2 linked regions of the Oryctolagus cuniculus genome follow. The protein of the gene in region 2 purifies or fractionates together with the protein of the main gene of each other region. This does not show direct contact. Links are inferred from orthologs where the notes say so. Each region holds a gene or a part of one and is shown on either strand. Other genes may lie near its edges.

Region 1 (3,747 bases), on a different chromosome or scaffold from region 2:
TATGCCACAGCGCTGGCCCTAGTAGGCTAATTTTTAAGTTGATAATTTTATATGGTCCATGAGTAATGTTACAAATACCCAATTGGCCCTTGGCAGAAAAAAGGTTCCCTACCCCTGCTACAGGTAATTGTAATAGTTTTTGTTTTCCAGGTGAAGGAAATAGCACAGAGAAGTCATGTCATTTGATAAAGGTCAAACAGTAAGTAAACAGCAAAGCCAATGATGTTAGAGCAAAACTGATTTATAAATAGGTTATTATAAATGGGTTAGAAGCTAGGTTTAACAATACAGCTGCTACTTGGAATTACTGACAATCCGTTCATATTAGATGAGTGAGAATTACATGTAAACTGTGTACTAAACATTTATAAGTGTATTTAGTCACATAATCAAAGAATGTAAGTCCAAGTTCTACAAACTGATTTGATTACACATTTAAACAAAATGTGATATTTCTGATAAAACACTTCGCACTTACCTTCAGGAGGGGACCCTGATGTGGCTGCTGTATCAGGCCAAGAACTTTCCGTTCCATGAGTTACAGGAGTGGCATCAGGATTTCCAGGAGGAATTTCTTGCCATACTTTGGCGTTGGGATTTAAACCAGTTCCTTTAGATGTTACCTGCTAAATAACCAAAGATTCTATTTGTAAAATTTAAAAGTGCATTAAAAGAAATGCAAATTTAGACAAAGGGCTTCTACATTACTTAAAAGTGAAATACTTTCCAATAATTATATTAAATAAAATGAAATCAGTTAACATTAAAATTATTGGTCAGTTTCAAAATATAAAACTTTTAAAGTAATGAATTTGAAATGTCCATATAAAATTTAGCCATCTATTTTACAAACAATGCAAAGCCCTATAAATTACTTCTAAAATGGTAATACTGTTCTACCCCAACCCATTTGTAAATGTCGTAAAATTCAAACTGTTCACATATCTTTGAGGCATTAGTGTTTGTGTATCTATAGCAAATTTCTGAGTTTATCTGTAGTGTAATTTTCCAGAGTACCTCATCTTTATTGTCATCCAAGCTGTGTCACACATTTGAGTTTGAATTGTATCACAGCATCTGCCTTATTTTGGAATGCTCTCTTCCCTCTCTTCTCAAGGTAGACATCCTCAAGTGTGTACAACACAATAATCATACTGAGATACCAACATTTAAACTGATCTTTTACATGGCTTATCTAACCACAAAAACTGAGCATGAGAACAGAACAGGGCTAAGAGTGTGAAAAGGTAGAGACAGAGCAAGGAAGAGACGGTGAGATGCACAAATACACTCCTCTCACCTTATCCAAACCAACAGGGTCTCATCCTTCTCAAGGACATTAATAATCCAGTAAACATTTCACCCTCTTCTCAAAAAGTTATTCTACTCCCTTCTCAGTGGTAGACCCCTACCACTACCAATAGATGATAGGCTCCCAAGGGTGGGCTCAAAGGGCAGAGAATGAACTTAATCAAGATTAAGGCACCAGGAATTCAGCTTTCATGAAAGAGAGCTAGCACATTACACCATGTATCAGGAGTTCATTATAAAATCCCTACCTGCAGGGGTTAGGGATTTTATAATGGCATAGCGGGTAACGCCACCACCTGCAGTCCTGGCATCCTATATGGGCACCAGTTCAAGACCTGGCTGCTCTACTTCTGACCCAGCTCTCTGCTATGGCCTAGGAGGCAGTAGAACACGGCCCAAGTACTTGGGCTCCTGCACCACATGGGAGACCCAGAAGAAGCTCCTGGCTCCTGGCTTGAATCAGCTCAGCTCTGGCCATTACAGCCATTTGGGGGGTGAACTAGTAGATGGAAGATCTCTCTCTGCCTCTGCCTCTCTGTAACTCTGCCTTTAAAATAAATAAATCTTAAAAAAACAAACAGGCCAGTGCCGCGGCTCACTTGGCTAATCCTCCGCCTGCAGTGCCAGTGCCCTGGGTTCTAGTCCCAGTTGGGCGTCAGATTCTGTCCTGGTTGCTCTTCTTCCAGTTTAGCTCTCTGTTGTGGTCCAGGAAGGCAGTGGAGGATGGCCCAAGTGCTTGGGCCCCTGCATCTGCATGGGAGACCAGGAGGAAGCACCTGGCTCCTGGCTTCGGATTGGTACAGCGCACTGGCCATGGCGGCCATTTGGGAGTGAACCAACAGAAGAAAGACCTTTCTTTCTGTCTCTCTCTCTCACTGTCTAACTCTGCCTGTTAAAAAAAAACAAAAAAACAAAAAAACAAAACCAAAAAAACCTCTCCCTACCTGCAGGGGTTCTTAATAATGACTGTCATGGTTAAAAACAAAACAAACATCAGCTTTTAAGGTATTACCAACAGCAGAATATGTCCAACTAAGGCACAACTTTTGAGTGGACAGATCTGCGGAGGTCCCACACTAAGCTGCTGTCTTAAAGCTTCAGCTTCCAGGATGCCTAATTCTACTTACTTGCAGTTCTGTCCCTGGAATCCCCCTGCACTCTTCTGATTTCTTCACTTGAGTTTCTTTGAATGCATTTCTACACCACACAAGTAACATATTTATGAGCCAATGAAATAATATTCTTTAATTATACTCTATTGCTTGCCATATTTCTTTTTCATTGCTTCCTTTTATAAACTGGAAAGAAAGATCTTGAGATGCAGTCTGGAAAAAGAAAAGACTAGATACAATGCCTTTTCTAGGTCTATTCCTATTTTTGGATCAAAAGTTGTGCCTTGAAATGGCAGTGACAGTAAGGTGTACTTTATTAATGTCGCAGTTTAGAATTTCTAGGTGTCTGACAACAAAAAGCATATTTTTTTGGTCAGTTTTACAATTCTCTACAGATAATACATCCCCTGCCTGTCTGCATCAGAACAGTACTCTCCTACCACTGTGCTTTTGGTGGGCCACTGAGCTGAGTTAATCAGTGATTATGATTTGGGAATTTAGGTACAGAATAATTTCCTTTTCTTTCCTTTTAATTTGAGAGACACGGGCAGACAGAACAGAGCTCTCACCTGCTGGCTTACACCCCAAATGCCTGTAATGGCAGGCCTGGGCAAGGCCAAGGCCAGGAGCTCCAGGTCTTCCATGTGGGTGGCAAGGACCCAATCATTTGAACCATCATTTGCTGCTCTGAGGGTCTGCTTCTGCAAGAAGTCAGAAGCTGGAGCTGAGAATCAAGCCCAGTCACACGAAATGAGACACAGTGTCTCAACCAGTAGATCAAATGACTAACTTCAGCATAGTTTCTGACTGGTAGTGGAATAGAACTATGAGGATCTTGTTATAGCCCAGCTCTCCTGCTATGTGCCCAGTATTTAATTTGATATTAAGTCCTTTTAATAGAAGATCTACATTTACATTTCTACTCTCTTTCTCTCCTCAATTCTCAGTATCCAATATGCCTCCAGACAAGAAGACAGCAGACAAAAAGAGTACATCTCTCAGAGATATCAGACTTCTGAATCTTGATAAATACAATCAAAGAATACAATATAAAAAACTGAAGGAATAAGAGCTATACCTGGAAAGGACAGAACGAAAGCGCCACACAAACTTATAAGAAGTACCCCTAACTATGAAGAGTGGTATGTAGCTGTAAGAAAAGCAAAAAAGGTATTTCAAAGTAGTTCACCACAAGCAATTATTATCTAAACATAGTGACTGAAGCTTTAGAACCCCACTTGAATTGAAAACAGAGCTCTAACGTGAACTTGAGATCATGTATGATCTTGGGAAGTTTAACAAATCTAAGCTTCAATTTTCTCAT
Region 2 (3,747 bases):
TCCACCTTTTAAATAAATAGATAAATAAATCTTTACCAAAAAAAAAAAAAAAAGTTCAAGGATCCTTAGTTGGGGTATTGGAGGATAGTAGACATACACTCTCACAGGTTTGGCAAAAGAACTTGACATTGCTACCTGGAAGTCTTGTTGGAAGGTAGACAGGCAATGGGAAGTGGCTGCCCAGGTGTGTGGAAAAAGCCAGGATCTCCACCTAGAGACTATTTGTTATCTTGGTCCCTTGCAGACTTTGCTACTTTCCTCTGTAGTCTCTATTGGATTCTGCAAGATGCTGTCCTCTTAAGGCCCTAGACTTGTACATCATCTTGGCACCCCCAATTGGCAGTCCTTTTGTTTTTCCAATACTGAACTACACTGCAATCCGTGTGTTTTGTAACTTTTTGTGCTTTATATTTCCAGTGGTGGTCATGGAAGATCCCTGCCATCATCTACCCTCATGATTAGTTTCCTGCCAATGACTAGGGTCATACCAGAGCTTTCCTGAGCACTTGGCACAAATAGAGAGGTGAATGGCTACACTTGCAACACAGTGTAGACTGGGAGGGATTTCCTGGCTGAAGGTCTATAAACTGAAAGGATTTCTAATCTCCCTTCAAGAACATACAGTTCATTCATGCTTGGTTCACATCAGCTCTCAGATAATATAATTCTTTTTTTCTCCCTTTGAAGAAAACTAATCTATTCTGTTTCTTGAACTTTGCCTAGGGAGCCTTTTGGAAGCAGCATTCCTGAGGTGGGGTTGGGAGTTCAGGTTTAAAACAAGACCTTTTGGGTCAATCACACACACTCAAGGAAGAGGCCACTGCCAGCTCCCTTGACAGATATAGGAGGTTCCTAGGACCAGCACTGCTCTCTTCCCTGCTTGTGCCCAGTTCTCAGGGTCTGCTTCTCTTTTGCCCAAGTGTCATCATGTTTTCCCTCCTTGATAGATGGAAAAGAGACTTCAGAAGGTACCTTTCACCAGCTTCTCCCCAAAGTTATTCTTCAATCTATAGAACATGATTCTGGCCATGCCTTCCTCCTATGGGGCTGGGGGGGGGGGAGGGCATGCTGGTTTTATCCTGGAGTCTATCTGGACCCAGATGGAGTTGCCACTGGAAGTAGAGAGATGAGTAGACTGTATGGGGGCTCTCTGGACTATCAAGTCCTGCAATATTTAGGCTTTTCCTCTGTAGTTTTCTTCTAGTCATTCCTGCCTTCACCAGAGATGCTGGCAGGCCCCAGTGGTCACTGAAGGACAACTCTGAACCAAGGGAAGCATCATCCTTATCCAGAAACCATTTCAGGTATTGTTTATAGCAGCAACAGGATGGGAGGAGCAGTGCCTTTCACGTTTAGCAACCAGCTGGAATTGAGAGGTATAGATACCTGGCTCAGGCCAGGGACCCCATCTCTGCAATGGAGATGTGTTAGTTGACCCTCCATCACCAAAGGGAGCCTGACCCATTCCATTTTGTTCCTCTTGCAAGAAGTCCACCTGTGCCTGTGAGGTAAGGCTTTCTTGCCTCTTCCTTCTCACTCCAGCTTCAAGGAAGTGGGGATGCCTACTGGAGGCCCTCTGGCCTTTGTAGGCAAGGCTCATTGGTGGTCCACACCCTGTTGACAGAGCCCTTTCTGACTGTAACTCATGTTAATTCACTCTCTCCACTTTCCTTCCAAGTCCCTAAACTGCTCCTTTTCTCCCATGTCTGACTATGGACACCACTTCCTTTCCACACAAGATAATAATCCTAAGGAGAAATTGGAGAGGCTCTTTTAATAAAGGCTGTGTCACCATTTCTTTTCTGGAAGGGGTCCCAAGTACCTTCATGATTGGAAAGAGCTCCTCAGGCTTACCTGACAGAGATACATAACATCTTCTCTAGGAGGAGTGGCCTCCATCCTGTCCTGCCAGCGTTCAGATCTGTGGGGGGTTTGAGGGGTTGTCCAGCTTTTCCTCAAATGCAGAGATGAAGGCTGTTGTGAGTGCCTGTGAAGGACTGAAGGACAAGTGTGTGGCCAGGACCAGAGGTTTATTGAATGCCCGCTAAAGTTCTGGGCTTTTCAATATACTTTAAGATAATAACCAAAATTTTTACTATCACTCTGTGGAATCAGTGTGACTGGCTCTGGCAGACTGCACTATATTTTGTGGCCACACTAATCTTCCCTTCCTCTTCCAACACCTCAATTCTATCCACATAGGACCTTTACATACATTGTTCTTTTGCCTGGGAGGCTCCTCCTCCCATATCCAACTCCCCTTCTTGTAGTTAAATCTAAACTTCTTTGAGCATGTCAGCTCAGGTTGCCTCCTCAGGGAAGCCAGCTGTGACCCTCAGGTCTAGGGCAAGTTACTGTTTGAGCTCTCATAGCAGTGTAGTGGTCCTTACCTCAATATGTAGTTGAATCCCCTCAGGGCTCTTTTTTACAGCTGAATGGTAAAAGTACTTAAAGAAGGTTGTTTCAGGCAGAGATATCAGCTTGACTACAGAGGGATGGCTTTGAGAGGTAAGGTGAGAAAAATTAAAATCCAAGGTAGTCTGGAAGACATTTACATATAAGAAATTTGGTTATTATTTTTAAACCCAGAGCAGTCTCTATAGGATTCTGACCTCATCTCTCTCCTACCAAGATTTTATTTTACCAGAAGGCATTTTTTATCAGAGTGAGGGATGGGTTGAAGGAGTAGGACTAGAATCAAGAATTAGGAAGCTACTGTAGTAATCAAAGCAAAGAGTGAGTTAAACCAAGAGGTGATACACTGGATAGGAGGGTCTTTAGGAGAGCCACAAAAGTCCTACTAAATGGCATTAAGGAAGGAACTGAGTACATACTAAAGGACTTAAGATTAAGGAGTTGAATATGTAAGGTCATCACAAAACACACCAAACACTGGAGTAAGGGAAAGGGACCAGAGGGAAGGGATGGAGAAGGAAAAAGAGAGAGAAGGAGAGTGTAAGAGAGAGAGAGAAGAGAGGAGAGGAGCTAGCAAGGAGAGAAGAGAGAGAACAGAGAGGAGCTGAGAGAGAAGAGAGAGGAGAGGAGAGAGGAGAGAGGAGAGAGGAAAAAGAGAGAGAGGAGGGAGGGGAGCAAGAGAGAAGCCAAGAGAGCAGAGAGACAGCGAGAGAGCCATGTGTTCAGGAACAGCTCCTTTTAAAACTTTACCAGAGGGTGGGCAGGGAAGCAGGAGCAGCAAATCCCATTAGGATGGGTGTGGAACTTGACAACGTTGGTTGGGCCATGTGGACACCAGGCTTCCAGCAATGCCAGCAGGGGCTAGAGCCTAAGATGGTGTTGGGGTGTAGATCGTGCCATGGATAAAACTGTGCCATATTCCCAACAGGAGTTGTATGGAATTACATTTGTCCCAAAAGTCCAGGAGGGGTAGAGGGACGATGATCTGTCTTTAGAGCTACTTCCTGCTGACATGGGGCATCGAGGTACTCTTTGCTAGCATGGGGCAATATCTCAAGCTGCTGTCTCCTGGGTGGGGAGCTGAGTATATCCCTGTAGCAGCATTTGGTAGACCACTGGGTTGGTGAAGACCTTGGTTCGTTCCATTATCAACACCTGTAAACACTTAAACAGACACTGTAGCATAAAAGACAGCACAAGAATAGCAACAAATGATCCTAAGAGTGGCATTAACCAGGTAATGAGAGAATTTCATAGAGGAGAGGAAATGGGGGGGGTCTCTGGACCCTTGTGAGGACTGTTTGATGGATGTGGTTTAAAGCCGATCCCAAC

The links. The genes of interacting proteins can lie anywhere in the genome.
Region 1: the proteins of RACK1 (region 2) and LARP4 purify together in Homo sapiens (affinity purification with mass spectrometry; 3 studies listed by BioGRID and IntAct, counting the BioPlex papers as one, with this or other methods). This does not show direct contact. The link is inferred for Oryctolagus cuniculus from reciprocal best matches to the Homo sapiens genes RACK1 and LARP4.

Annotation. Positions count from the first base shown.
Region 1 is NC_091442.1:54,154,294-54,158,040, forward strand, and holds the start of LARP4 (la-related protein 4), read right to left. Parts: upstream 2,896-3,747; 5' UTR 2,529-2,895; coding exon 2,439-2,528; intron 627-2,438; coding exon 479-626; intron 1-478. UniProt on the Homo sapiens protein: RNA binding protein that binds to the poly-A tract of mRNA molecules. Associates with the 40S ribosomal subunit and with polysomes. Plays a role in the regulation of mRNA translation.
Region 2 is NC_091445.1:34,938,686-34,942,432, forward strand, and holds the start of RACK1 (small ribosomal subunit protein RACK1), read right to left. Parts: upstream 2,542-3,747; 5' UTR 1,855-2,541; intron 1-1,854. UniProt on the Homo sapiens protein: Scaffolding protein involved in the recruitment, assembly and/or regulation of a variety of signaling molecules. Interacts with a wide variety of proteins and plays a role in many cellular processes.